Lonchura striata: one gene and its partners. The protein of the gene in region 3 binds, or shares a complex with, the protein of the main gene of each other region. Links are inferred from orthologs where the notes say so. Each region holds a gene or a part of one and is shown on either strand. Other genes may lie near its edges.

The links.
Region 1: the proteins of YWHAZ (region 3) and ITGA4 are in contact, whole or in part, in a crystal structure (PDB 4HKC), measured with the Homo sapiens proteins. The link is inferred for Lonchura striata from reciprocal best matches to the Homo sapiens genes YWHAZ and ITGA4. Residues at the interface, in NP_001129171.1 of Homo sapiens: Lys49, Arg56, Lys120, Arg127, Tyr128, Glu131, Gly169, Leu172, Asn173, Val176, Tyr179, Glu180, Ile217, Leu220, Asn224, Leu227, Trp228; in NP_000876.3 of Homo sapiens: Arg1007, Gln1008, Tyr1009, Lys1010, Ser1011, Ile1012, Leu1013.
Region 2: the proteins of YWHAZ (region 3) and MAP3K5 are in contact, whole or in part, in a crystal structure (PDB 6EJL), measured with the Homo sapiens proteins. The link is inferred for Lonchura striata from reciprocal best matches to the Homo sapiens genes YWHAZ and MAP3K5. Residues at the interface, in NP_001129171.1 of Homo sapiens: Val46, Lys49, Asn50, Arg56, Lys120, Arg127, Tyr128, Glu131, Gly169, Leu172, Asn173, Val176, Tyr179, Glu180, Ile217, Leu220, Asp223, Asn224, Leu227, Trp228; in NP_005914.1 of Homo sapiens: Ser964, Ile965, Ser966, Leu967, Pro968, Val969.
Region 4: the proteins of YWHAZ (region 3) and CFTR are in contact, whole or in part, in a crystal structure (PDB 5D2D), measured with the Homo sapiens proteins. The link is inferred for Lonchura striata from reciprocal best matches to the Homo sapiens genes YWHAZ and CFTR. Residues at the interface, in NP_001129171.1 of Homo sapiens: Asn38, Arg41, Asn42, Ser45, Val46, Lys49, Arg56, Arg60, Glu113, Phe117, Lys120, Arg127, Tyr128, Glu131, His164, Pro165, Ile166, Gly169, Leu172, Asn173, Val176, Glu180, Ile217, Leu220, Asp223, Asn224, Thr226, Leu227, Trp228; in NP_000483.3 of Homo sapiens: Arg764, Arg765, Arg766, Gln767, Ser768, Val769, Leu770, Asn771, Leu772, Met773, Thr774.

Annotation. Positions count from the first base shown.
Region 1 is NC_134610.1:24,034,374-24,041,801, reverse strand, and holds the start of ITGA4 (integrin alpha-4), read right to left. Parts: upstream 3,014-7,428; 5' UTR 2,999-3,013; coding exon 2,814-2,998; intron 2,727-2,813; coding exon 2,605-2,726; intron 1-2,604. UniProt on the Homo sapiens protein: Integrins alpha-4/beta-1 (VLA-4) and alpha-4/beta-7 are receptors for fibronectin. They recognize one or more domains within the alternatively spliced CS-1 and CS-5 regions of fibronectin. They are also receptors for VCAM1.
Region 2 is NC_134605.1:50,682,092-50,689,536, reverse strand, and holds the start of MAP3K5 (mitogen-activated protein kinase kinase kinase 5), read left to right. Parts: upstream 1-4,441; 5' UTR 4,442-4,901; coding exon 4,902-5,307; intron 5,308-7,445. UniProt on the Homo sapiens protein: Serine/threonine kinase which acts as an essential component of the MAP kinase signal transduction pathway. Plays an important role in the cascades of cellular responses evoked by changes in the environment.
Region 3 is NC_134603.1:21,495,852-21,503,823, forward strand, and holds the start of YWHAZ (14-3-3 protein zeta/delta), read left to right. Parts: upstream 1-4,969; 5' UTR 4,970-5,077; intron 5,078-7,225; 5' UTR 7,226-7,235; coding exon 7,236-7,529; intron 7,530-7,972.
Region 4 is NC_134607.1:34,225,384-34,232,442, reverse strand, and holds the start of CFTR (cystic fibrosis transmembrane conductance regulator), read left to right. Parts: upstream 1-4,052; 5' UTR 4,053-4,174; coding exon 4,175-4,227; intron 4,228-7,059. UniProt on the Homo sapiens protein: Epithelial ion channel that plays an important role in the regulation of epithelial ion and water transport and fluid homeostasis. Mediates the transport of chloride ions across the cell membrane.

The DNA of each region.
Region 1 (7,428 bases), on a different chromosome or scaffold from region 3:
TCCAAATACAAATTAATCTGCAGTCTAGAACACTTGACACCTTAAACAGAAGTACTAGTACTCAAAAAGAGACTGAAAACTCTTCTGTTCATCTATCAGAGAGAGATTTAAAAGTGCCAATGAGGGGCTAGGAAAACAGAGACTTGCTAGCATATCTCATTACTTTTTTCAGTTCTTAAACCGGCCCAGGGGCTGCAACATCTTGAAGAACAATAACATTCTTTAAAGTATGTCTGGATGAGTTATCCCAGATGCTGTGATGACTGCAGCATAAGACTGCTCCCAGCAGCTCTTTTACTACTGAAGAAGCAGATAGGAACTTGTGACACATAAAAAGACAACAGCAGTTTTGTGTGATCAGAGGCTTCCTAATTGTTCATGAATCCTTCATTAATTAGTTATGCCAGTTTCAAGGCTACTTTAGTGAAAAGGAGCGACAAAGTATTTTAACATATTTGTATCTCTAAGTAATTCACACCCATTTTTTACAGTGCCCCCACATTTGGAAAGCCACATCTATTGCCTGTTATCACCTATACTTTTTCATGACTTATAATTAGAAAGTTACCACCTCAAAGATGTTTTTACCAGAACAAAATGCGAGTTCAACTATTTAAGAGCAAGATAGCAACACTTATTTCTCATTGTGCCTGTTCAGCAGTGCAATATATTGCCACACATTTTTCTAAGGAAATTCCCTATTCTATGAGATCAGAACCCAAACTTGAATGAGTTAGATGAGAGTTAATTAAGTTCAGCTTTGTAATTCCAAGTTCCCCTGCATATTTCTCTGACCTCAGATACTATACCACTTCATTCACATCCCATGGACTACAGCTGCCTTTGGCTTCTTCATTGACCTCAATGACCTGTATTACAATACAGCACTTCTTTTCAGCTTCTATTTAACTTCAGAAATACTACAGGCAAACCTTAGTGATGCAAAGATGTCATCTAGCAGTAATGGAAACCTAGTTTGCAAAAATATCATGTGGTATAACTGTTGTTTTAAAAAGTATGTTGTGCAACCTGCAGCCTTTAATTCTGGGAATAGAGGCCATGTTAAGCTAAGCCTTTGGAACCACATAAACTTTTTCATATACCTGTTGCCTCATTTCAATTAGAATCCCTTACACTATTGAAGAAAATCCCATCATATTATTTCTTTAGAGATTTTGTTTCTCCATTGGCTAAATGAGCAAACTGAGAGCCACTGCAGATGTTTGTAGGTTTCAAAGAACCTGAAACTTTCAACCCTTCCTTTATTTCCCCCACACAGTAAAGGACTATTTTTATTGACTTTTAGCATATGTTACTTCACCATTTTAGTTGACCTCTTAGACTTTTTGCAAGCCTCCTCATAATAAACAGGCAGTCAGAAAAAAAAAAATCTCTTTGTTATGTTTAACTTTTAAACGGCTATAGTACCGGAATGAAATTAATCAACAAAACTCCGAAAAACTACTTGGCCTGGTATAAATTTAATTTCCATTCTTTCTAGCAACAACTGCTTGTCTATTTCTTATAGGACTACATAAAAAACACCACTGAAGTACCCTAGGTTTTGTAGACCAGTTACAAAATGAAACTCTTATATTGATTTGTAGCCAAAAAAAAAAAAAAAAAGAAAGGCTAGAACCTGTCAGTTCTAAGTATTATGCACAGACATGTAGAAAAATAATTGGTTTAGTATTTTTTTGGTTACAGAACGCTGAGCTCCACCCTGACAGCCACCAGTTCATGGTGTGCTACTGCTTTCAAATATTTTGATAGCCTTTTTCCCGCGCTGCTTCTTACTGGGCGATGTGCTCATAACGGATGGGATACTCTTGGTCGGAGGGTGACTGAGTACAAGTGGAGGAGGATTCTCTCATAGCACACAAATAGCGTGAACAGCACTGTATGCAAGTGGGACAGGAAGAGAAACCAAAGTAATTCACACGTGTTCATGGCAACCCAGTGCAAAGCCTTCCCCTTTTTAACAAGTATCAAACGCTTGAAAGTTGAGTAAGTGCAGCCAGTTACATCTCCTAAGTATAGAGACTGTGGAGATAGAGAGAAGTGAAGTTAAATGAATAACTGTTCACCTGAAACTCCAATAAATCTGCAAGCAGGGAGAACCTATCAGCAAGACAACTGTGGTTCAAAGTTACTTCAGGGTGACTTCTACAAAGAGAATGCTTTGCAGGAGAAAACAGGACTTAGGCACATACTTCCACCCTCCCATCCCTGCGCTTATTACAATCACCCGCTGCCCTGAAAGCTACACCAGCTCTTCTCCGCAGAGCAGGCTCAGACCGAAACTTTCATGGGGCTTTTGACTCGGAGGCTGAAAGGTGCGAAACGGCTGCAGGAACGGTATCTGTCACACCTAACTTCTCCAAATTAAGTTTTGGTGCCTGTTATCTCTCTTGATGCCGCCGCTGCAGTCCTTGGGCGATAGCGCTGATCTGGCCCTTGGGCGAGAAGCAGAGCGCTCCGCAGTTTAAGCCGGAAGGGCCCAGCACGCCCCGCACGGCAGCGGAGCGGAGCCGCGGTGCGCGCACGGCGGAGGGCACGGACCGTCCGGCCCCGGCCGCCGCCCACGTCCCGCCGCCGACTCACCCAGCTGGAGCTGCTCGCACCCTCCGCTGGAGTTCCCCCCGATCCGGCACCGGAATACGTCCCCGGGGCTGAGCACCGACTCGTTGGCGGGCCAGCTGGCCCGGGGCGCGCCCGCCACCAGCCTGCGGGGCAGAGACGGCAGCGTGAGGAGCCGTGGCCAGGACCAGGCGCGACGGGCCCCCGCGGGGGCGGCCGGGCCGGGGACTCACCATCGCTCCTCGCCGTGGCGGTGCAGGAGAACAGAGTACCCGAAGAAGGTCCCGTTGCTCCCGCGGAAGAGCAGCGCGTGCTGCGTGTCCAGGTTGTAGGGCCGCGCCGTCGGCAGGCACTGCCACAGCAGGAGCAGCGGGGCGGCCCAGCCCGCGGCGCCCCGCGCCCTCCCGCAGCTCCGCATGGCTCCGCCGGCCGGCAGCGCTCCGACGCCGGCTTCCCCCCTCTCCGCTCGGCGAGAGGGCAGCGCCGCGCCCCGCCCCGCCCTGCCCCGCCCTGGGGCGCCCTCTCCGCAGCGCGGGCTGGGGGTGTCCCCGCGGACGGGGCAGTCGCACGGCCCCGCCGCCGCCTCCTCCCGCGCGGTCGCAGCCCCTCTCCCTGCCCAGGCGGCGGGGGTCGGGTTTCTCTCCGCCCCGTCCGCGCCCACGGGGACGCTGCGGAAGGGACACGGCCCCCGCGTCCCCGGGCACTGCCCCCGTGGGACGCGGCTATCCAGGCACCGGCGGAGCAGAGAGGGCCGCGTCCCCATCTCTTCGCCTCGACACCCTTGCCCGGCCCAGCCCGCAAAGGGGGAAGGAGTTACTGGAAACTTATCCTAAAATCTCCCGCCGAGCAGCGGGCGGGCGGCTCAAGAGCAGAACCGTGTTCTGAGAAAGGAAGCGTGGAGAAGATTTGAGTTTTCTGTTTAGATTTAAGAAGAAACCCAGTACCCCTGTGTTGAAAGCCTTCCACGCAGTCGCTGTGCTGAGGGAGCCTTGCCTGCTGTCCCCCGGTGTGGGTATTTGGTTCCTGAAACCAGTGCCGCACAAGCAGGGCACTGGCCTACCCAAGACTTGTTGCACAAGACTGCTGATGGCGCCTTCCTTTTCACGTGTCATGTAGTCAAAACAATCCCCCATCGCTTCTTGTACATTTTAGAGTAACTTTTGCACATTCCTATTCAGTTCTTCAGTTGCTGACAAAGTTAGCGGCCATGCCTCCAGACAGCAAAGGAACAAAGGAAACTGAGCATTGTGCAAGAGATCTGGTATTTGTAAGGGCTCCCTTGATCTTAGTGAGGAGCATTTCTGTGCGTGTTTTCAGCAATCAGTTGCTGACTCTTGATTTAGCTCATACTGAGTTGTGCTCATCCTGAAATCAAGGCTTTTATTTCTATCTGCAAACCTTGCCTTACTGAAATCCTTTGAATACCAGGTCTTCCCCGTTGCTAAAATAATCCCTGTATATGGATAAGCTATGTATAACAGTATTTTGAATCTGAGAAACAAGAACAGAAGAACTTCTAAAAAAAAATTTATTTACAAAGATTACTTACTGAATCTGGACTAAAATCCAGTATGATTGCAACTATTGAATATTATACACATTAGAAATAACAGTGAGATTTCCCTAATGTAAATTTAGAACATGGCATTTTAAACTCTTGGGAAAATACCCCCCTTGGAAAGTTTCACGTTTCTGCAAAATGCTGAGCAACTACCAGAGTGGGGCACTGAGGCAATGCAGAGTGAAACATGCAGATGTGTAGTTTCTGGAATGAGATCAGCACAGTGGAAGATCTGACAGCCAGTCATCAGTGTATCTTTTTTTGATTCCTCATCTCTAGAGCCATCAGAGGGCTTCTTCGGATGAGACTGATGTGGAGCGGTGGCTGTTTCGTGCAAAGGAGTCAAACAGCTCCGCAGCTGCTATTCATCTTCCTTCCAATTACTTACATCAAAGGAGTTAAAACAATCAACAGCAGCTGTGAATCTGCATTTCTACTACTCAAGAAGTTTTCACCCTCATTTTCAAAGCAGCAAAACAAGCATGAATCAAAACTGAAATGCTAAATTGTGGTTTAGTTGGTGAAAAATTGTAACATGGTTGTACCACCGTGATGTTGGAACCATGTTGAGATAGTGGCTGTGTTCCTAGCTGACAGGAAAAGGTAGATTGTAAAGTGGTGGGATTCAATTATTGATGCATACATAACTGTTTATCAGCTATGATATGAAATTGAGAGCTCTATATCACCTGTCAGGAGGAAATGTGTGTGTTGTCTCCTAGACTCTGCTAGAGTGCATGTGATAGTGATCCATCAGGCATCCATGAAATCAGTGGAATACAAATTACTGGAGAGTCAGAAATCCATATTTTGAGAAATTTTTGCAGGTTTCAGTACAATTCAGGTACTAGAAAGAGATCAGAATAAATGCAACTGACAATATGGAGTAATGGAGAGAGAATTTGAGTTTTATTAGAGATTTAGAGAATTTGCAGAAAAGGTGGAACCAACACTGGAAGCCAAGTACCTGTATTTACAAATCAAATATCAGTTATGTATCAGTTTATATCTAAGTTATCCTGAAATAATAAAAAAAGTTCTCCCCAAAACATCTTGCTGCTATTCATTCTCAACAGCACATCTCTCACAGTCCTTTGTGGGTTAATAACACTAGAAGAAAAATATCCCAGTGACTTGCCTCTTGTGCTTGAATTTGGTTCACCATCTAAGGCAATTTCAGAGGAGCCAGTGGGATGATTTGTTAATTATATTAGTCTGCAGTTTGGCAACATTTTTTACAGCAGATGTGTGCATTTCATCTGACTGTCCTCATCTCTTGCTGCTTGTTCTTGAATCATACAGTGACCCTGTTATGCTGATACTGTTCAGTGTCTGAGCAGTGAAACACATCAGAGAAGTGATCTGGGTTAAAAATAACTCAGACAAAAGCCCCCAAACCTACATCACATTTGTAGCTGGCCAGTTGTATTGGTTGTATTTATAGGATGGTTTAACCTGATGCTGCAGCTTTAGGAACTTTTTCAGGTAACAGCCTTAGCTTTCTACAAGTAGCAAGTCTACGAAGTTAAAACCTACACATCTGACTTAAAACGAAGCAATTTCTTTCCTTTCTTTTCACCAGTGCTAGTGAGAAGAAGGGTAAGAAAATTACTGAATAAAGAACATACTGATTCTGACATTCATTCATACTGAATGTTTGTCACCTTTCTTCTTTGGAATATATACTTTTTGATTCCCTAAGCTGGAAGGCATTTGTATTAAATTAAGTCCAGTGTATGGGCTGGTGTTGGGTAACTGATCACATAAAAGCTTTTGCTGTGTTATAAATACATGAAAGCACATGTTGATAAAAATCTTCATGGATATGGCTGCTTTCAGCTGTGGCTGTCCCTGGTCTCCTGTGTGCCACATAAGCCTACTGCTGCTTATGGAAGAGTGTCTCCACATCTACTCTGAATTCGAAATAAAAACAAGCAGTGGTTGGGATCCTGTTCCTAATTAGAAAGACATGAAAGTTTAATTTTTAAATTGTCTAAGTACTTAAATAATGCTATTTCAAATTTGAAGTTTCTAAACCATTCTGATTTACTGAAACATGGAAAATTTAGGGTTTTGGTCAGACCATAACTACATCTTCTTTTTATGTAAGCTTCTCCTCCTCCACCCCCCAACAATGGCAGTTGGCCACAGAAGCTACTATTCATATGCTGTCATCTGAGAAATTATAGAAGGCAAATACACTCTTACCTCTAAGGCTGTCTTCAAGAAACTTCATCTTCCCTCTGCTGTAAGATACATGTGAGTTCTCATGAAGAGGTTGCATTGTCCACTGACAAATACAATTAAGCACAGATGTCTGATGCACCAAAAAGAAGCAAATGTTAGCAAGGGTCTTAATTGTATCATTTTGTTTATATTCTCTTAAGAGATCTGAATTTCATTTAGAATCAGTTAAAGAGAAACAATCTTTTAATTTAATCAGCTTATCATATATTTACAATCATATAATGTCCTTTTAGGAAATATTTTTAAAAAGTTTTTTCTTCCCTTGAAAAATTGTGCTGCTGAAGTAAAGACTGATCTGCCAAAAGAGCTTTCCAGAATTTAAACATAAAATAGTGTCATACAGACAATGACTATGACAACCTGACTAGAAGAAGCAAACAAAAGATAATTATTGTTAATAACAGCTTAACTAATAACTGCATTTTGATTTACAGATAGGTAGGACTGGAAATTAATCATTATATGTATATGTGTGATTGATGCATTGCATATCCTTTTTTATTTTTTAAAATTTTGTCAAAGATTCTTGAGTTGCAAGATCAGACACAACAAAATATCTGTTTCTGAGAGGAATTGGGCAGTAACCTTTTTTCCCATCCCAAAGGAATTGCTGAACTTTTGAAACTTTCCCATCTGAAATTCAAACAAAGAGTGTTTTCATGCACCATTTCTGTGTCTTTCTTTGTAAAAGTCTGGTTCAGCAGAGTTGTAGCATTTTTTTCATTATTATAACTTTTAAAAACAAATATTTTAGTTAGATCTAATTTCTTTGAGATAAAAAGGAAATATGTATGTTCAGAGAATTTCAACATAAAAAATAATAATTTATTTAAATCAACACTTTTCCATAATTAATTTTCCATAATGAATCAACATTTCAACACATTCATCTCTACACTGAAAACATTCTGACCACTTATTGATATTGTGTTTCTATTTTTTTTTTTCATATTTCTGTACTTCCATAGATTCCACATGTCTGCTGATGAGATTGGATGCAATGGGAATGGAACAGAATCTGAAAAAACTTTGTGTAAATT
Region 2 (7,445 bases), on a different chromosome or scaffold from region 3:
AGAGCCTTCACCACCTTTGTTGTCCTTCTCCGGACTTGCTCCAGCACCTCAAGGTCTGTCGTGAACTGAGGGGGCCCCGAACTGGACACAAGACCTGAGGTGTGGCCTCACCAGCCCAGAGGGAGAATCCAGCCAGATTCTTCCAAACAGACGGATCCTGCATGCAGCAGTAGATGGCAGCCATGTTCCACGCAAAAAAAAAAAAAAGAGTCCTCAGTTGAAGGAAAAAAATCCCCAACTACACTGAAATTCAAAACACAATATAATTCCAATTAAAAACGGGAAAGTTGCGTAGTATGCAGTTTTCAGCTAGCTTTATGCAGCTGTCACTTCTCTATGCTCTGCTCGCAGAAGTACCCTCCTCGTTAGCATTAGAGTAAGTGTTTGGGATCCTTACTGCAGTATCTCCACCCTTTCAGACCCAAGAGCTCTGCTCTGTTACAAACACGTCTCTCATTTCCTCAGCTTGCTAGCTGACAGCCAGTTTAGGTGTGAGCTGAGCTGGCAACCATCATTGCTGTGTGCACAAATCCTTCCAAAACCCTTGATGGTCATCAGGAACAGTAATCAGAAGGGCTCGAGTCCAAGAGTTTGAACAACTTATAAGAAGAGCTTTTCTACCAGAGAAGGTAGAATGTGAGCTATTTCCTCATGTGCAAGGGCAGGTAGCTTAAAACACTGAAAATATTCAAGGAGAGCAGTTAATTTTTGTCTGTCTTTTAAACTATTGAACCATTCCCTAGGCTCCATGCCATCAAGATTTTCTTCCACAAGTGAATGCTTATTGACCGATAGAAGCATAGAGATGTTTCCAGTTGAAATCTTCATATCATCATAAAGCTGAATGTGTTGCAGCTTTAGAAAAAGCATTTAGAATCCCAAGGTTCATTTAAGATTGAAGAACTGGCAACATTGAAAATAAATAAATAAAAACAACCAATGGGATTGCAGTAAGGAATGCAAAGGGAAAAGACTCCCCTTATATGTCTAAACTGAGGGTTATGGCATTTGGAAGGAAGAGGCAGTTAGCATGGAGGTTTTCTGGAAGTTCAAAAGAATAAAAGAAGCAAGAGGAGGGAAAGACACTGGAGCAAATGAAGATTTAGACATGGAGATTTAGAAAGAAATGTGAGAATTATGAGGAAAGAGTATGAAGCAAGAACAGCACACAATCTTCACCATTCTCACAAGAAAAGGGCTACAAGGAAGATCCTGACTGGTGAAATATCCATCCCTGATGATGTATCCACATTGTTCGGTCAGGTTTTGCTGGCTGCCTCCCATATGCACCATGCTGTAATTTGGTAAGCAGATTCCCCATGTTATTCCTATTCCATGATCAGCTGCATCCCTACACAATGGCCACCAGTCTCTATTTACCTTCTGCCCGCACTTAAATATTGTTTTAGATGTTCAGTGTGACTATAAGTGTACCTTTTCTTAAAGACTGGCAGCTGCCTGCCTCAAAATACTGCCTTCTCCCTGCTGAACTTAGAAGTTACTTCTCATTGTCTATAGTGATATACTTAGTCTAATTTTTTTGATAGCTTTTAGAAACAAGGTTTTCTAATTTCAGTTTAACCATTTCTAGTACTTGTGAGAGTTTTGGCCTAAAGGTTACAAATATTGCATTAACTTATGTACTTTTAATATCTCATTCAAATTTCTATATCTCCAAGTTTCTTAAAATTCTTTTGGGTTTTTTTAGACACTCATAACTGAAGGATGCTGGACTCCTGAAAACTTTTTCCTGTTTATCAGTGAAGAATTTACAGTGAATTTCCAATCTCTCACTCCTATGTTATCCTGTAGTTAAATAAGACGTCCTTAAAGGATTGATGAAATTTCACATCCATTTTAAACCCAGTATTTGTGGCGATAAATTTCAGTTTATTTTATTAATTGTATCCACATTAGTGTAAACATTCAAAATGAAGATTTGTCTAAAATAATTTTTCTGCCTCTACTGGACATGGATGGCCACAATACATGAAAAATATAGATTGGACAGAGTTATATTTAGATTTAATCTCTATAAATCGGGATACATTTGAATTGTCTTTTTTTGTTTTGGACCTTGTTTATACTAGTTGGATCAGCTAAATCAAGCCTGGGATATTTGTCATGTGCTCTTTGTAACTCATCAACTATTGCATTTATATTTGCAACTAATAAAGTTGGCAAACTCTTGGATGTTAAAATTATAATTATGGTTAATACCAGAGGTAAATGATTTTTAGCTGTAGAAATATATAACAAAGAGAAGGTTGTTATTTCAACAAGTCTACAGCCACCTGGTTGTTCCAAGTTTTTCTCTGTTTTGTCTCTGAAAAAAACAGAGCTGGAACAGGATGGTACTGAATCATGATTATATACAAACCATCTGGTGTTAAAGATGTTAATTTCACAGCCCTTGAGAAACAAGTGAACAAGGTAAGAGTACTTCTGATAACAAATGGGCTGTTACTTCAGTTTTTAAAAAGTCCTTGGAATTATCTCCTAATCAAAAATGAAAACAAAAGATGTCCTAAATGCCTGTTGTTCATTTCAGAGAGCGAACAGATTAAAATATATATTTTCACTTTATAAAACCATCAGCAACTTGTTACTCAACAGTATTTTGATTTTTTTCCCAGTTTAGCGCTCAACGTCACACATAGCCAAATCAGTAGAAAAAGTGCCTTGTATTTGGAACAGACATGGTGCTAATAATGAAGCAAGCCTCACAAGTCAGTAATGCTAAGTGGAATAGCATGCTTCTTCCGTCTCCTTTCAGTCCATGACTTCCTTCTGCACTTGACAAACACAGGCTGTTCTTGAGAACAACAGAGACATATTGTTCTTGCTTCCTGTAAGGTGATGTAAGTGCAATGTTGAATGGATTAACACCAATTCTGCATTTTATGTAAAACATCATAATTTAGAAAAACACTTTGCCATTCAGACTGTGGCAAGAAACAATAACCTACTGTATCTGGCAGATGAGCAAATATTAACTTTTCCCTGTAAATTAGTCTTTAGTTTGCTTGTCATCTTCCCACCCCATTTACTGATTTCTTATCAGCAGAAGTAAATGCCAAGCATATCTTGTTGAAAAGGGGACTGCTCAATGCAAAAGCAAACAGAGCTACTGAAGCTACTGCAGTGAGTAATTTTTCTAATTATTCCAGAATTGATCTACAGAAGTAATGGAAAACAATGATACAGGAGAAGGCTTTGTGCCAACAAGTGGATTAGTCTTAACATCAATTTTAACAGGATGGGACCCATTGATATAACATATAAACAAAGCTAATAAATGCTGGTTTTTCTTCTCTCTTGTACCCATTTAATATAAGCCCTTAAAAAAGGACATTTGAAAAATCATCCAGTTTTACAGTATTTATACCCAAAACCAGACTGCTGAAGTCTCAACATTATTTCCTTTCCCAATCCATTTTGAATTCCCCAGATATTCAGCCTTGTACTGCAAACAATCTGAACTTGTAGGGCATCTTTTCTTCGAATTAAGGACTATTTCTAATACCAAAAGATCTTGTCCTCTGCTAGGTGCTATACTATACACAGCACAGTTTTTGGCTATATGCTGCTTAGTGCTATTAGTTTCCTTCTCTGTGAATTAATGTTTTTGATAATTACCAAGCTTTCAAGTATTCTTGACAAGTAAATTGCAGGTGAATGCAAGAAACCGACATATTTAATCAACATACAGGGGTAGTTTTCCAGTTTCCGAGTGCAGCGCTTGCAAAAGAATAAGGCTGGTCCTGCTCAAAGCAGCCATAAACCCTTCAGTGAACTTGAAGCCGTTCGGGAACACAGAGCGAGGCAGGTTCAGGCGGCGGATAATAGCAGACGGCAAAGGCTAATGATTAGTCAGTCCTGACACTGCTCTCAACTCACTGCAAACACTCAAAGCATTTACTCCTGACAAGCTAGTTAGAGTACGTGTGCCATCAAAAACAAACAAGAAAAGCAGGAAATTATAAAAATCCCTTTAGCAGGACCAGGTTCAACGCACAGGGAGGACCTGGCTTCTTGCAAACACAGGCTCCTTCAGTGAACATCGCTGAAGGCTCCGGGGCGCACAGGGCCCCCGCCGTTTCAGCAGCGGGGAGGCGCACCCTGACTCCACAGATTTGAAGCGCGACCGTGGGCTCGTGTTAGGGGACAGCATATTACAAAATAAAGCCCCGCAGGAGACGGCAGGGCCGCCCCGGTCCTCTCCAACAGCCCGCACCCCGTTCCCTCCCGTGGCGCCCCGACGAGCAGGGGTGACCGAGCCGGGACTTCCCAAGAAGAGCGGCGTCCTTCCAGGCTGACAAGCCCGTGAGGACACGACACGACTCCCCTTCCTCGAGAGCTCCCACTCGGGACGCGGCCAGAACGCTGAGCACGGGGGCGGAAAAGGTTATTTCTGCCCGGAGGCGGGGCCGGAGGAGGTGCCCGGTGCTGGGGCCGCCCCAGCCCGCGCTGCCAGTGGCTCCGCAGCTGTCGCTCGGCTGGAGCTGGGGCGCCGGAGAGCGATCCCACAAGTGGTTTATCCCCGCGGCCGAGGAATTTCGTCCAAGGAGTACAGCGGCCGGAGGACGAGCGGAGTGTCGGGGGTGGCAGGAGAAGGAGGCCGGGCTGCCGGGGGTCGGCGCGCCGGGTAGTCCCTGCAGGTGCGGAGGAGAAGGGAGCGGCGCGTCATGGTGCCGGTGGCAGGCACGGAGGGAGGCTGTGCTCATCTCCCTGTCTCCGACAGCCTTCGCTAGCGCCCGAGTGGGAATCCCTCGCTTCAGCCCGTTCGCCTCTCCCCTCCAGCAGCTCAGCGGGACCGCTCCGGGGCGGGCGGCGCATTATGGCATCCGCCTAACCCCGGCCAGCGCAACAGAGCCCGGGGCTGCTCTTTCACCGCCGGGATGAACGACAGCAGCGAGGGGATCGTCAGCCTGCCGGTGCCCGGCCCGCCCGGCGGCGGGACGCCCTGCGAGGAGGTACTCGGCAGGAGAGCGCCCGGGGCCGACGCGGGCGCCCGCAGCCTCCCGCCCGACTTGGCTGCGCCGCCGCCCGCCGCTGTCTGGGCTGAGGACGCCGCCGCCGCCGCCTGCCCGAGCACCGCGGCGCGGGCCAAGGGTGGCGGCCGGCGGACCGCGGTCACCTACGTGATCAACGAGGCGAGCCAGGGCCCGCTGCTGGCGGCGGAGAGCGGCGCCCTGCAGAGCCTGCGGGAGGCGTGCGAGGCGGTGGGGGCCGCGCTGGAGACCCTGCACTTCGGCAAGCTGGACTTCGGCGAGACGGCGGTGCTGGACCGCTTCTATAACGCAGGTGAGGACTGCCCGGCTGGGGCTGACCATCGCCGCCGCGGGACCCGCTCGGCCAGGGCTCGCCGTCGCCGCCCCGGGTTCACCGCGGGGCGGCGGGAGCAGCTCCGGTCACCGACTCCTCCGGGGGCCGAGCCCCCGGTGCCCCCGCGGCCCCCGGCTGTAGTGACACCCCCGGGTGGCCACGGCGGGTACCTGGGGAGGCAAAAGTGCGCCAGAGCCCACTCTTATCCCCCGTGCTAATGAAGAAGAAACTCTTAGGTCAGCGAGCGTGCTGTGAATCAGTGCTGGTGGCTGCCACCGGCAGGTTAAACGCTCCCGGGCTGTTTTCTCTCGGTTTCCTAACAGAGTGCGGGGATGCGAACTTGGACTAATACGATGAGTGCGGGCTGAAACAGACAGGAGCTGCGAGGCCATGGGAGCTTTGAAAAGCAGATTTGACACCAGATGCATAGGGACAATTTCTTAGTGCTGACACGGCAACTGGGACGCTCCATGTGTTTGTGGTTGAAAGTTTGTGCTTTTGATATTGATTGCATATAATACATATGATGGATGCTTTTGAACAAAAAGCTGCGCACACTGATCAGGTTAGTTGGCAAGAGTACCCAGGGCTGCATGCTCTCACCCCAGTTTGCCAGCTGCATGGCAATAAAAGTACAGCACCTTTATTTGAAGTGTGGTGGCCTGATGTTCTGTGTTACGATGTACATGGCCCCGTTTGTAAAAATAATAACTAAAACTTTTCCCCATCTGCTTATCTTACCGACAGATACATAGTGTGAATGTAGAATAAAAAACACCCCTGCTTGCCAGATTTTCAAAGACTTCATACAACTAAGTTTATAGTACTTAATTAATGGCTTTATGCTTTTAAAAAGATCAGAAGCAGGACATTGACCTGACCAGCAATTTTAAGTTTAATGTGTGATGTGGCTTTGGTGTGTATGAAATACATGCTAAAAAGAAGTATTCAACGAGTTTTGTCAGATACTGTCATTTCCTCTCCTGGGAAGGGGTGAAGAAAAAGGGAAAGCAAACTCAAACAAACAAAAACCTCCTGGCAGTATTGTAACCAGTTCTCACAAAAGGCTTTTCATGCATATACCTGTCGCCTCTTTGAAACTTTGCAAGCTTTGCCTCATGGACTGCTATCAGTTCAGTGAAATGGGAAATTCTTAAGTGTGCACTTACAGCTTATTAGTTTTGCCCCATGCAGTGCTATTTCCTTAAAAGTAACAATTCTCAGAAGTCAGAGGGGCTGTCCTCACAGGTGGAAATAGGAAGGCCACAGAGTTTCATTATAGAATTTTTATGCTCTGCATTCAGCTTGGAGAGATTTCAAGCACCCTGACATCTCTTCATTCCAGAGCAGGTGAAACCTGAGAGTCTTGTGGTTCTGTTGTGGAAGCTGTTGCATAGTGAGGCTTAGGAAGTTGAATTATCCGTGATGTTTTTGTGCCTCTTATGTTGGTTAATTTTTAGACTCTGAGCTTTTCAATAGGCGGGGTCTTGATAGTTCATGGACGCTTTTCTTGTAATGGGAGATTTGACTTGAAGTGGGCCCCTTTTAATTCTGGCAGTAGGCGTCTGTCTGGCTTATAGTGCTACATAACTGCATGCTTATGTAATATAATTTGCTTATTTCAATGGCTTTTCAGCAAACTGTAAATGTGAAAATATTACTTTTTCTTTTGTCCTCTTTGGCTGGAACTTAATGGAACTGTTGCAAACCAGAAAAAGTACTTTGTCATTCTGCTTTAGTAGTGAAGTCCATAAACATGTAAAGAACTAGGAGAGTTCATCACCTCCAGTGCCTGGACTGAAGAGAGCTAGATGTAGTTGTTTGTGTCTGCTCCACATATACTCTGTACTGTCTGAGCTGACCAGTGATAAACTAGCTGCAATCTCAAAAGCTGTGTTATGCTGCTGTTCTTAGGTCAAGAGGGATCTGTGGATTTTCATACTTGTTTCTTTATCCCTGTTGCACTTTCTACAGTCTTTCTGTTTTTAGGAATTACTTGTTCTCCAAAAGCTTTAAAATAGTGAAAAAATCTCTCTCAGATTGGGCACGACATTAAAGAGTAGAAGCTGTGTGGTAGAAGAATGCAAATTTGGAACAGTGTAGGGAGCAAAACTGAA
Region 3 (7,972 bases):
CACTTCCAACCATGCACTAACTCTCTAATATATATACACCTAAATCCATCCATATACAAAATAATTTAAAGATTTGAATTCAGGGTAAAGTATTACTTATGCAGGAGTCACTGGTACATTGCTTCTTTGGCTAGATTTGTAATTTTTATAAAAAATTAGACTACAAACAGATGAGGAGAGACTACAGAATGTTTGATGAGGCAGAGAGAAAGGCCTTGTGAGATCCAGCAGCTCCAACTACTTTCCACTCAATGATGGAAAATACTAGCCTTATCCACAATTCATGTTTTATCATTGGCACCAGACAGAGAGTCAGAATCTGACTCATTTTAGAACACTGGGGATGGGGGAGGGAACAAAAAAGAAAAGAATACTCTAAATGCATGCATCCTTCACTTAAGTCTTTCAGGATGGTCAACCTACAAGAGTGTCCCGAGGAAGAAGAGTATCCATTGATCCAAAAGCACAATCAGACTACAAAGAAGGTGAACAAAAGCTTCTGCAAAGCTTGAAGTTTGGCTTGCAAATCACAGGCAGTGGCCAAGGAAAGATAAGTACAATATATACCTAAAAATGTCAATAAATGTTTTTATTCCAGAAAGTAAAGGATCTTCCTTCTGCCAAATGGGAGAAAGAAATTCAAAACTCTACAGAAGCACATAAAGGCTGCATAAAAATACACACAGATGTATATAATCATGTAGCCAGAGAATCAGCCCAGAAAGGTATGTAACAAAATCACAACAGTCAGGATTTTAAGCAAGCAGCTTTTGAAAATGTAGCTCTTAACAGTAGAACACACAACAGAGCTGCCAGCTCTTCTTTTCTTCCCTCTGCAGGCCGTAAATTTGCAGAATCATCTCCTGGTCTCTGGGGAAATGCCCTTTGCTAGGCTGCCTTTGCTCATTTTTCTGTTCCCAGGAAAAAAAAAAAAGCAAAAAAAACCCCAAAAAAACCCAAAACCAACACAAACACCAACCAACAGTAACTCAGGACATCTCTATATTCTAGCAGCAGCCTGGTTAGTACCAAGAGTCACCACCACGGAGCCTTCCAGTCCTGACAGCATTCACCGACTTCTAAGAGCTATTCTTACGGATTTCCTGGGTTATTGCTCTTGCTCCTGTCTATGTGAGGTTGACCCCCAAAAATCATGACATACTCTTCTAGCATGGGGATAACCCAATCTTGTACTCATCTATTTTTAATTAATTATGTTTAAGCACAAGAAAGAATAACTAAGCACTTGTGGAGAAAGGATGAGAGGGAAGAACTAAAAGCTGGTTTAGAGGGGAAATAAAATATATCTGGAGTAATTTTTTCCCCTCCCCATCCCTCCATTTCTTCTTCTCATGTAAGAAAGTAAAGTAAGAATGAGTGTAAATAAACACGCATATAGGTACTTTCATATGCAAATGTTTCTAACTCTACAAATGAGTTTTTGCTGCTGGCTGCCGCCTGACAGTCTGAGATAGTGAAAGTGCAAGTCATCGAACAAAAAGCTGTGAGGAGAGCAACAGAGAAAAAGCATCTGAAGAAGAGGAAAGCTGCTTAAAGCCTTGGTATTTAAGAGACCGAGTTCCCTGGTCAAAACTGCAATATGCAAGACAAAATACAACATTCTACAGTGGGGGAAAAGTGCAGGAAATGTAAGAATAAAAGACAGCAGGCGAGTATCTGCTTAAGAGACAGCATATGCAAAGGTGAGTAACATCTAAATCCTTGGATCTGCTCCAAATGGCAGCGTTCATGAAATCCAGAGGAGTGGAAATGGTGTTTGGCAAAAATAGCCCACTTAAAGGGGAAAGAGTGCAGCGTCTATTGACGCACGGGGCTGCTAGCAAACACAAACTATGGTTAGTGGCAATTCGGGTTGTTGCAGGACATGTTCCGTTCCCTCCAAAACCAAAAGTAATGGAAAGGACAGAATGGAAAGGCTGATGTTTTCCTTCCACAAAACTATTAACGTTGCCTACAGTATTGCAGCCTACTTCACACAGGATTCCCCTATATTTCCCGGAAATATCAAAATGCAATACACATTTGTGCTTCATTCTAATGCAGGCTCCAGTCTGCAGGGTTCTTTATGCACTTTTAAGGATTATCATTTTTCTTGCATCAGTTAATTTTTTTTATCATGTTACCAGAAAATATTCAAGTACCTCTGAAAATGTATGCTCTATATTTGGGTGGTTGCCATTTCAATGAGACTTTTCTACAAAATAAGGGTTTTTAGCTTATGTTAAAAATGAACTCTGTAACATAACTTGAAACAAGATGCAGCAAATGCTGTGCCACCATACCATCTGTGTTCAAGTACAGCTCTAAAGCTCTCCTCCTATTGCTTCCTAAAGTGGAAAATAATGGTAAAAAATAAAAACATATAAAATGAAGCCTCGTGTATTGGAATAAATTATGAACCTGAGCCTTACAATGTTTGTTCCAAAAATCTCCCTCTGTACCTGTATAGGCCAATGAAGTATCATTTGGAAACCAAAGAGTAGGGTTATATTCTTCACATTTAAATTAAGTAACAGTGATGTTCTCACCTGACACAGCTAGTAAATTCTGGTGAGCTTCACTCTGCACATTATTGCCTCTTTTGCTTTTTTTAGCTCTTTTCACAAGCTTTCCAACAATATCCCATAGGAACTTGAGTGAAATTCATTAAACATTGGAGTTAATTGAAGGAACCAGAAATTATGAGAAATATATTTTTTAAAAATATCTTACTGTTAATGTGGAAGATGACAGAGGTTGATGGGCAAAACTTATATGGAGTACAAACCCCAACATACATCTTAGGCCATGAGGAAGGGTAGTAAGAAATCAGAAACAAACTCTGCAGGTAAAACGCCACCATGGAAAAACTAACTGCTCTTTATATGATATAATGAAAAAAAAAAGCCTAGTTCTTAAAAAGTCAACTTTGACAGGAGGATTTTAAAGCAGGACCTTTCTGATATTCAGTCAAAATACAGGATCACTGTTTTGAAGATGAAAGGGACGGCGTTCTCATCACTTTATCTCACTCACAGGTCCACAGTCACTTTGTCACTGCAGGGTGCAAGACCACACTGGGAAGCTGTCCTGAACTGCCTGGAAAAGAGAGAGAGGCGTGCAGGCAAGAGCAGGAGGCATCTGCGGGAGAACCTGAAGATGCTGTTATCTCTGGTACCGAACCAACCTGCTCCCGGCCACTCTAGAACAACAAATACATCCATAACTTCTTCTTGCTTTCCAGAAGGAAGCGCCTCACTCCTCCTACGCTACTCCCTCGCTGTGTCCCACCGACAGACTTTTATGGCTGTAGACATAAGTACAGGCCCGTCCTGCGCCGGGCTGCTCCCGCGGGAGCCGTTCGGGGATGAGCCGAGCGAGCCCCGCCGGAGCCGCGCCCGGGGCCGCCGCCGCCCGGGGCCGCCGCCGCCCGGGGCCGCCGCCGCCCGGGGCCGCCGCCGCCCGGGGCCGCCGCCGCCCGCTCCCGCCGCCCGGGGCCGCCGCCGCCCGGGGCCGCCGCCGCCCGGGGCCGCCGCCGCCCGCTCCCGCCGCCCGCTCCCGCCGCCCGCTCCCGCCGCCCGCTCCCGCCGCCCGCTCCCGCCGCCCGCTCCCGCCGCCCGCTCCCGCCGCCCGCTCCCGCCGCCCGCTCCCGCCGCACGGCCGGGACGCGGCCCGGGCACGTGACCGGAGCCGACTTTCCGTGCGGTTTGCGCCGAACGGGAACGGGGCGGAGAGCTCCCGGGTCTGCCGCGGGCACGGCAGCCTGCAGCAAGCCCCGGGGAGGGAATCCCGCTCTGGAGATGCTCCTGGCCCATGGCACTGCCAGATACAACACCTGGCCCTTTTCAAAAAATATTTCGACGTGCTTTCTCCATCTTATTACTCTCCATTTCATTTCTAATCCTGTGAGACAGTGCTGATCCCAGAGCCCAGGAGAAAGCAGGAGAGGTCAGGACACTGCATACTTGAGACAAAGATTCAAGCTGGGGGATGTTGTTCAGAAAGGGGACAAGGGAATGCCGACTTCCAAGACCTTTAGGAAACAGGGTGGGATTTTTTTTTTTCCAGAAAATGAAAAAGCATTTCCAACAACAGCAATATTTATTAATACTCTTCCTACTCCTGTCAGCACGTTCTCATCAACGTTTGGATGGTGCTGTCCGAAATGCCCGCTTGCCTTTCCAAGGGAAGGGGCTTCCAGAGGGACCGTCCTGCGCCTGCAGAGCCGCTGAGCGCCCATCCGCCAGCCCCGGGGGGATCTCCCAGGGCGCTGCCGCCGTCCCCGGCCTCCCATCCTCCTCTGGCCCTCTCGTTTTTAACGCCCAGCACGAGTCGCGCTCCCGGTGCAGGATGAGGCTCCGGGCGCGGCTCGATGCGGAGCGCTCCCGCGGCCGCGCGTGTGCCGGGACAGTCCCGCTCCCCCCCAGCGCCCCGGGGCTCAGCCACCCGCCACGCACGGGGCTCGGCGGGGGTTACGGGGCGGACTGGGCGCTCGGGGCGGCACAAAGCCTGGAGAGCCCGCCCGGGGTGCGCGGGGGGCGGCGGTGACATCCGCGCACGGCCCGCGGCCGCACGAGGAGACGGTGCTGCCGCCCCCGCTCCGTGCCGCGGGCGCGGGCACCGCTCCGCCGCCCCCGGGCGGGTGCGGAGCCCTCCCCGCCGGGCCGGGGCGGGCGCCGCGGCGGGGGCGGGACGTGGGGGCGGGCCGCGGCCCCGAACCCGCGGCGCCCCCGGGACCCGCGGGCCGCCCCGCTCGGCTCGGCGGTGGGGCGGGGGTGCAGGCGCGCGCCCGCGGGCGGGGCCGCCGCCGGCTCTGGGCGTGACCGCGGGCGGGGGAGCGGGGGGGGGAAGGTTCGCGCGCGCCCTCGCGCTCCGTTGCCATGGCGCCGCTTGACGTCACGGGCGGCGCGCGGCCCGCGCGGAGCGGAGCGGTGATTGGCGGAGACGCCCCGTGCGCGGCGCCGGGAGAGGGAGGGAGGGAGCGAGGCTGCAGCGCCGCGAGCGCCAGAACCGCACAGTCCGCGCCGGCCGCCCGCCCGCACCGACGCACCCGCGCCCGCCCGCCCGCCGCGCACAGGTAACGGGGCCGCCGCCCGGCACCGGCTCCCCGGCACGCCGCAGGTCGGGAGCACTGAGCGGGGCGGCCGGGGGACAGCGCCCAGCCCGCCCCGCTCCCCCCACCCCCGGCGCGGCTCCACGGGGAGGGAGCGGGGCGCGGGGGCCGCTGCGCGGGGCGGCGGGGGCCCTTCTCCGCCGGGGAAAACGGGGAAAGCACCGGCGGAGGGGGCGGCAGGTGAGGGCGACCCCGCGCCCGCAGGGAGGGGAGCGCCGCCCCTGCCGGGCGGGGGCCGGGGCGCGGGCGGCGGCGCTGCCGGGTGTGGTCTCCCGCCGGGAGCCCTGCCCGGGCGCGGAAGAGTCGCCGCGGCCGCGCTCCCTTCCCTCCCTCCGCCCAGGCCCCCCCCTCGCCCATCCTCCCCGCCCCGGCCGAGGGGTCCGGGCGAGAGCGGCGGCTCCCCCGGGACTAGAGGGGGCTCCTCCTCCGCCGCTCCCCCTCCCCCGCGCCGAATCCCCCAGGGATGGACCCGCGGGCTTTCCCTATTCCGGGGCGGGGACGCAGCATCCTCCCCCGGGGGCGCTGGGCGGAGGGGAGCGGGATCGGGGCGGGCCGGGCTCCGGCGCCCACCCGCCGTGACAAAGGCGGCGGGCGCGGCGCTCGGTGTCCCCGCGGCGGGCGCGGCGAGGAGGGCGGGAGGGAGGGAGGGAGGGGCGGCCGCAGCGCCCCGGGGCCGCCCGCCCGCCCCGCCCTCCGCTCCGCCCGCCCCCGGGCCGCTCCATTTTCTGCTGTCACCGCGCTCCCCGTGCCGGAGCCGCGGCAGCGCCCAGCCCGCGGGGGCGGCGGCGGCCCGCCCGGGGATGCTGCCGCGGCAGCCTGCGGTGCCCCGGGGACCGGCGGCGGGGCCGGCGTTGTGACCGCGTTTGCCCCGGTCAAGCCGAGTGGTAGATAACCACCACCAAAAGCTCGCTTTAAAATGGCTCCTTAACCCCGCCGCGCGCGGTTGGGCAAGTTCTCCAACGGGCGTTTGCACACAAACGAGTTTGTGCCTCCCCGTTGGGGACAGGAGCCGTTAAAATTTGCAGTCACCTGGAATGTTAAAATGTGCTTAGTTTATTCCCAAAGATGGAACACAAGCCATGCCATTGTTTCTCCTAACGTCACATAAAATGGCAAAAGTCTTAGTGGTTAAAAATGAAAATGCTTGGTTGGGGTGTCTGGAACGTACAGAAATAGATAAAGCACTCATGACCAAAACTGGTTCATGCTTTAATAATCTTGTTAAACTTCGAAGGATAATGTATCCCCTAAGCACATTCCTCCAAATGATCAAGTTAGGGTACACAGAAAGATGGGGGGTGAGGCAGAAGTATTTTTGCTTCCTGTGCCAAAAGAAATTTCTCAATACCTCTGTGCTGATAAGACAGGTTCTGAAGTTTTTCTGCTAGGTTGTGCTGTCTGAAATACTGATGTTGAGGTCATATTTTTAAGTAGTAAAATTTTCTTTTGTCTGTGAAAGCACAGCCTCCCAGGCAGAGCAGCAATATCTGATACAGAACATCCCATAATGGGGATTCCCATTTTGGGAAAGGGAGTTAGCATTGTGGGAAGGTGTACAACTCACAATTTAGATATTTGTTGCACTATGACTTTTTAACATCCAGTGTGGGATTTGATTTGCAGGTGTTTATGTGAAGTACCTCTGCATGTAACTGATTCTGTTAAGGTTCAGAATGCTGCTTGATATTCTTTGTCCAGCCTTTATTTGGTTGTCTCCTGTGGAAAGCTTACTATTGGATATTTTCTTTGTCAGTTTTGCTACACTGATAATGTAGCCTTATGAAAAAGTGGTGGCAAAGAATTAGGATCGTTTTTGTGCATAAGATAGAAATTATTTGGTTTCAGTTCACCTTTGGATGCTTTTGTTTGTGTTTATTAAAATAACATACTTAAAAGTTTACAGTTTTCAGGAGGAAGCAGTGGTTTTAACTCTCTACTCCATGTGTCCATGTGTTTGAGCAGCCAGTGCTGCTAGTATGCCTTGTGTGCTGGATTTCAGTTGTGTCTCTTCCAGTTCCAAATTAGAGAATACACGGTGCTCTGCCTTTGAAGTTTAAACACCTTTGTCCTTGACCAATGTCTGAATAATGCCTCGCTATTTTTCCTCTTCAGAAATATCAACATGGATAAAAATGAGCTGGTGCAGAAGGCCAAACTGGCTGAGCAGGCTGAAAGATATGATGACATGGCAAGTTGCATGAAATCTGTGACTGAGCAAGGAGCTGAGTTGTCCAACGAAGAGAGGAATCTTCTCTCTGTTGCCTATAAAAATGTTGTAGGAGCCCGTAGGTCATCTTGGAGAGTCGTCTCAAGTATTGAACAAAAGACGGAAGGCGCTGAGAAAAAACAGCAGATGGCTCGCGAATACAGAGAGAAAATTGAGACTGAGCTAAGAGACATCTGCAATGATGTGCTGGTGAGAAATAATGAAACTGTTGATCCATTTTTACTTAGAGTTGCAAAGTAAATGGTGCTGGGCCCTCTGGGACTGTTTTTAGTCTGTCAGTAAACCTGTGGTCTCCTATGCTATTTCTGTTTAAAAAAATGTCTGAATTTTTCTTTCCCTCTAATATGCTGATTATTTATATACAAATTATAGTTATGAATGCTAATAAACTTGGAGGCATGTAGAAACATTGTACATAAAGTAGTAGTTAAGAAAGCTTAACGTGTTTCCCTGAGACTGAACTATATGCAGGTTTAGTTTGGGGGTTTCTCCTACCCCAGTGCCCCTTCTGCCTTAAAGCAGCATATGTATCCTAGATGTCTTTGGTTTCTGCAATTTTAATGTGCTGCTGTGGTTGTAAGAGGTAGTTCTTACTCTACGGAAATTGTGCCCCTCCCTGGGTAAGATGATGT
Region 4 (7,059 bases), on a different chromosome or scaffold from region 3:
AGGGAACCAGCTTTTCTCATCCTCCCATTCTCTTGCCTGGCTGTCTAACTCAGCCTCACTGTGTTTCCTTCTGAGTAAAGTCCAATAGATGGTAGTTGTGGATACATCTAAAGGATAAAGTAGCTGTTGTCTCAGTGTATCAAGTTGCATCTCTGTAAAAGTGAAAGAAGTTCATGTAAATGAAATGCATAAATAATACTTAAGTTGGAGATATTTCAGTCCCTAGAGAAGAACAGAAATATTACATTTTATTCCTGCTCACAGTAATGCTAATGACAAGTTTTATGCTCATGTCAGTTCAAGATCCCTGGGAAGGTTAGGACTGAAATAAGCAAGGAAATGTACCAGTGGAAACTTTGTGGGTACATGAGAGAAAAATGACAATAAATATGTAAAACAAAAGCAAGAGTTTATGAGTTTTTGACTGAGAGATGTGTGAATGTGAAAGCATCTGATTAATTTGCAAAACTATTGGATCACAGAGCAGGGAAATCATTATTCCATGGGTTTTGATGAACCATAGCTGGTACTTAAGAAAGTAGGCAAAGAAATATTCTAAGTTTAGAGAAGAAGTGTTCAAAATTAGGGAAAGTTCGTGGAATTTTTCATGTAAGAAAAATTACATAATCAACGATGATTGATGGGATGTCTTTGTTAGTCCCAAATTTGCTACCTGTGTGCAAATCAGCTGTTATGGTAATAGCCACAGGGAGATACTGTTATGAAGAATACTTCATTACCAGTTGACATTTTAAGTAGTTTGGACCTGATCCACTAATGGTTTCAAATTACTAACATACCTCACTTTCTAATGTAAATTAAAAAAAAAAAAGTCTAATCCCCTGCTCAGTTTCTGCTTTATTCACTTGTACCAGAGATCCAAAGGCTAGGAAGAGAAAGAGCCTGTAGCAGGCTAGTGTGTACTGTTTTGAAGAATAGGTTTCCACTCTGACTTGTTGATCTCAAAGGTCTTTTCCGACGTAGTTGATTATCTGATTCTGTCTTTAAATTAACATTTTACCGTTTTTTAATTAAGTGAAAAAAAATTGGTAGATCTAGGTGAGCTCCTTGCCAGGGCCTACCCAAAGAACTTCTCTCAGAGGCCGATGGAGCATATGGGATCCCAGCCTTGTCCCGGCTCCTGCCGGGGGGATCTGAATCCTGGTTCGCGTTCCTACTTAAGCTCCCTGACCTCTGCAGGGGCTGTGGGTCTGGCGGCTGTCACTGCCGCATCAGGGAGCGGCGGGAGGTGCCTTCCAGATGCCCAGCACTGAAGGCCCGGAGAAGCTGATCCCGCCTTCTTCCGCATCGCTGCCGCGGTGCGATGCGGGGTGCGGTGCGGTGCCCAGTGCAGTAGGGTGTGCAGTGCAGTAGGGGGTGCATTGCGGGGTGCGGTGCCCAGTGCAGTAGGGGGTGCAGTGCGGTGCGGTGCGGTGCCCAGTGCAGTAGGGGGTGCGGTGCGGTGCCCAGTGCAGTAGGGAGTTCATTGCGGTGCGGTGCCCAGTGCAGTAGGGGGTGCATTGCGGTGCGGGTGCCCAGTGCAGTAGGGGGTGCGGTGCGGTGCGGGTGCCCAGTGCAGTAGGGGGTGCGGTGCGGTGCGGTGCCCAGTGCAGTAGGGTGTGCATCGCGGTGCGGTGCGGGTGCCCAGTGCAGTAGGGGGTGCATTGCGGTGCGGGTGCCCAGTGCAGTAGGGGGTGCATTGCGGGGTGCGGTGCCCAGTGCAGTAGGGGGTTCATTGCTGTGCGGTGCCCAGTGCAGTAGGGGGTGCATTGCGGTGCGGGTGCCCAGTGCAGTAGGGGGTGCATTGCGGGGTGCGGTGCCCAGTGCAGTAGGGGGTGCATTGCGGTGCGGTGCCCAGTGCAGTAGGGGGTGCGGTGCGGTGCGGTGCCCAGTGCAGTAGGGGGTGCAGTGCGGTGCGGTGCGGGTGCCCAGTGCAGTAGGGGGTGCGGTGCGGTGCGGGTGCCCAGTGCAGTAGGGTGTGCATCGCGGTGCGGTGCCCAGTGCAGTAGGGGGTGCAGTGCGGTGCGGTGCGGGTGCCCAGTGCAGTAGGGGGTTCATTGCTGTGCGGTGCCCAGTGCAGTAGGGGGTTCATTGCTGTGCGGTGCCCAGTGCAGTAGGGGGTTCATCGCGGTGCGGTGCCCAGTGCAGTAGGGGGTGCATTGCGGTGCGGGTGCCCAGTGCAGTAGGGGGTGCATCGCGGTGCGGTGCCCAGTGCAGTAGGGGGTGCATTGCGGTGCGGGTGCCCAGTGCAGTAGGGGGTTCATTGCTGTGCGGTGCCCAGTGCAGTAGGGGGTTCATTGCTGTGCGGTGCCCAGTGCAGTAGGGGGTGCATTGCGGGGTGCGGTGCCCAGTGCAGTAGGGGGTGCATCGCGGTGCGGTGCCCAGTGCAGTAGGGGGTGCATCGCGGTGCGGTGCCCAGTGCAGTAGGGGGTGCATCGCGGTGCGGGTGCCCAGTGCAGTAGGGGGTGCGGTGCCGGTGCCCAGTGCAGTAGGGGGTGCAGTGCGGTGCGGTGCGGGTGCCCAGTGCAGTAGGGGGTGCATTGCGGGGTGCGGTGCCCAGTGCAGTAGGGGGTGCATCGCGGTGCGGTGCGGTGCGGGATGGGCTGGCGGCCCGGGCCCGGCTCCACTAGGTGGCAGGATGCCGAAGGGCTCCGCGCTGCTGTCCTGGAGCCTGGGCGGGTTTAGCCCTGCCTGTACATATTGTCTGAGGACATGATAAAATGCGGACAGTTTCCTGGAGTCCTGCCTGCCCGCGTTTCTTACTGGTTTTGTCATTAATAAAGCAGAATAGGGAAGGTTTCGAGGTCTGAGACACAAAGGAGCCCGGTGCAGTGACAGCCTAAGAGGGCACTTGTTGGCTCAGGAATCTAAGAAAAGAATTAGGCAAAGAGAAATTCTTTGTGAAAACACAGCAACGCGTAGCGAGAAACGTTGAAATAAAAAGTATCTGCAAAGTTTGCAAAAAGTAACAGCTGGTTAAATTGTAGCGCAAACTAAATGTAGAAAAGTACGTTCGCTTCTCTACAGAGCCAGTTTAGAGGGCAGAGTCTGCTTCATTCACAAAGCATGGTCTTTTCCATTCGTCTTTTTTAAGTTACAGAAATGAAAAGGCATTGGAGTGTATAAATATCAAAATAAAGCAGCAAATAAAATAAAATCCTGTACAGAATTAAATCAACATGTTCTCTTTTCTTGCTTCTTGTCATCTTTGTCTCTCTCAAATATGCTTTCTGCTGTGCGCCATTAAAGCAGTGATTTTGTTTGTATGTCACACATATAAAGCTTCAGATCTGGGTGTTTGAGCTAAACTTACTAAAGATACAGCTTCGGTTCCCATTCGTCTCGGTTCAGGTGCGGGCCTGACAAAGAACTTGAAAAACTGAAGCAAGTGTATTTTAAAGTCGGTATGATCGCGCTTGCCCGCACCCTTTCCTGGGGTGACCGCTCGCCCTCTGCCTTAAGCCCGTGTGCCGGTGCGCTCGCCCCCGGGACCGCGCAGAGGCGTGGGGCGCTGGACGGGGGCTTCTGGCCGCGGGTGCCCACCAAGGCCAAGCGCCGGCCCGGCTCCCGCGGGTCTCGGTGGGCTGCAAGCAGGCGCCCTGTGCACCGGGGCGGGCTCTGCGGTGAGCAGCTGCGCGCCCGGGAGGGCAGGGGGTGTCCACGCTCCGACGGGGCTGTCCTCGCTGCGCTGTCCCCGCCGCCCTGGACAGAGGGCAGAAGGCCCATCTGGAGGGGTGGCTTCCCCACCTCGGCACTTGGTCAGAAGAGGGGTTTAGTGCTGGGGAGAGGCTGAGGACCCGCGGTGGGGTGGCTCGGGAAGCTGAGTCGGCAGGTGGAGGTAAGGGGCTGGGCGAGAGCCGTCGGGGAGCCGGGGAGGAGAGGTGCGGGGGGAGCGGCGGGGCGCGCCCGGTGCCCGGTGCCGGGCGCGGCGGGAGGCGGGGGAGGAGCGGCGGCGGCAGCAGCGCACGGGCTGGAGCCCCAGCCCGCCCGCCTTTGAACCGGGGCAAAGCAGAGGCGGGGAGAGGGGCCGGGGCAGGAGGCGGACGGTGACATCAGAGCGGCCGGGCGGATAAGGTGGGAGAGCCGCAGGAGCGGAGTGGGCGAGCGAGGCGTCAGCGATTAGCGGCTGCCTCCGGTTCCCCGCTCACCGCATCTCGCCGCACCTCACCTCACCATGCAGAGGTCTCCCCTGGAGAAGGCGAACATCTTCTCCAAACTTTTCTTCAGGTGGGAGCCCCGGTGCGGCGGGACGCGTGCGGGCGGGGGCAGCGGGCCGGGCTGGGCAGCGGCGGGCGGGGAGCTCAGCGGGGCTCCGCGCCCCCCGCCCAGCCACTCCGGCGAGGGGGGAACCGAGCACTGGGCGCCCCGAGCTCTGTAGTGGTCTGCGGGGAGAGCGGTGGGAGTCTCGCTTTTGATGAGATCACTCTTTTTTGTTGTTGTTGCTGGGGTTTTAGCACCAGGAATGGGCTCTGTCAGGTGTCATAAACCTTTGCTGGACCCGAACAGATGAATTTATGACATAATTTGAGCAACCTTTGGTAGTTGCTCAACTAGTTAATCTCTTATTTCATGTAAACTTTGAGAACATCGTGGGGTGGTAGGGAGCAGAGGGGAAATGCTCTCAGAACAAGGATTCCTCCTGTTTGGCTCTTTGAGTGTTTAGCACTTGCTCAATGTGCAAGTATAATATATGATCTTACTGTAAACAGTTCCTTGCAAGCTTTGAATGTGTTCTCTTACAAGCAAACTCCCTAGTGACTTCTCTTTCTAAAAACTTCAAATAAAAAGAGAAGGAGCCAATACTAGTGCCTGGGCACAATGTACTTTGTAAGACAATATGGAAGCTGAATAAGTCTTATGTGACATCCCTAGAAATGACACTGTGAACTGGAAGGAGCAAATAATCTCTTTGGCATTGGCCCACACAGCACTGCTTTTGCCAGAGTACTGGTTCCCTCTTTTGTTACCGGGGGGTCTCTTGCATGGCAAGGAAGGGTGAGAGGAAATCTTGTGTAAGATGTGAACATGATGACTGAAGTGAGAGTGCATGGTGTAAAACTATAACATTGTTGTGAGGTCTCTGCCTGAAAAACTGAGGGCTTTTAGCTCACTTTAAAATCCTTTTGGGATAGCTTTCAGCAGGTTGGTCTGCACATTTTTGAAGTTTCTTAATGGGACTCTGTATGAGTCACTGTTTGCCTGTCTCTCCCCCTTTGGTGCATGTTAGCCAGATATAATAGCAGGGAATAATCCCAAATATAACCTGTTCCTAAAGTTTTACCAACATCCAGGTAAACATAGTGATCTTATATGTTTTCTCCAATGGTGCTGCAGTGGGAAAAAAGCCTTGTTTGCTGTCAAATACTGTTAGAGTCAAAGAGTATGCATGACAGGGGTGTACTGTGTACAGTAATGATGTACACAGTAATGTGTACATAAATGATGCTTCAGTCAGTGTTCCTGTCAAGTATAAGACAGAATCTGTAGGAAATAATTCTGTATCTTAATTTAGTAGCTTGAGGGGGCCACTTGCTCTATTTAATTTTATTTATTTACAAATTTATATGAATTTATAATCTTAGAACCTAGGGTGTTGAAGGTGTGAAGAAAAAAACCAAATAAGATAAAGCAAATACATTTCTGATTCCTACCATAGTGAAAGTTTTCATGTCTGAAACCAGATGCAGTTCATGCTCATTAAGTATGTAATTAACCATCCAGATGCCTGTGCTCACCTTTTAAATCACAGTCTTTAAGTCAATTGAATGTTGTTTTAATCATGTTTGTCATGCATGATGCATTATACTGTACCAGCTTTTGGTCAGGTGACTGTAACCAAAGTGATAATAATAAAATATATGAAGTTAAGGAGATGTTCATGATGAATATTAACTAGAGCAAAGAAATGGAAAAGAGATGTATGGAGAGAGATTGCTTTTTTCAGTGATAATGAAATAGTTGTTATCAAGTACAACACAGTACATGTTTCAGTGAAGTGACTTTTATGAGAGTCTGCAATGCATTTATGTGTGAAGTACCAATCTGAATATAATGTAATAAGTTGAAGATCATGTTAGCACAAGTGATGTTAAAATATTAACTATGATTGTTCAGGAAATCTTTCTGATAAATATATTACTATTTAATATTGTACAAACTGTTATCAGCTATAGATGCATAAACATCTTGGCAAGGTTTTATTGCTTCATAATCTATCCTGTTTGGGTGGGAGAGGCAGGTTTAACATGTGTTAAAGTCAGACTGTAGCTCTCTGCTCATAACTGAGTAGTTTCTACATGTATTGATTGGACCTTTTTTCCTTAATCCTTTATGCAAAAAAAGTTAGAAAATCTCTTGGTATAGAAAGAGTAGTATTTTATAAAAAGTGTTACCTTTGTATTAGTGATAGTGATACTACTGGGGCAAAAAAAATTGCTAGGAATAGTCATGATAGAAAGTATTTAAAATTAAAAATTCATTTTCACCCCAAATTTTAAATAGTTTTGGTTTAAAAACTGAGATTTGGTGGTTAAGAAACAAGTTGTTTTAGATCTTCCATTAGGGGGACACTTAGAAAAAAGAAAACACTAGATACTTAGAAGTTTGGGGTTTCAGAGATTGTTTTGTGTTTTGTTGTATTTTCCTTATTACATTTTCAGAGTTGATCTCTTTTGTTCCCAACCTCATGCAAAACATTCTTTCTGTTCTTTGGCAACTTTTGACCTTGCTTAAAGAAAACAGAGTTTTATGCAGAAGCAGTTAGATCATCATATGCTTAGCTTCATATTCATTGTGAAGATCCACTTTAGTCTTTATAAGCATTACTTACTTTCTTTTGGAGTTTTAGGGTTATGCAAGGTCAGGGACATACCTTTTGTCACAAACAATATCAGACTACTTTGCATTCACTTAGTTTTTATTGAAAATTAACTGAGATCAGGAAGTCTCATTAATTAATCAATTTTTACCTGTGAACTGGCACACAGAGGTATTGCTGGAGTTTCAGAAATGACTGCAAATATGAGAAAATTCTGATTTTATTACTGTTCTGTTGCAAGC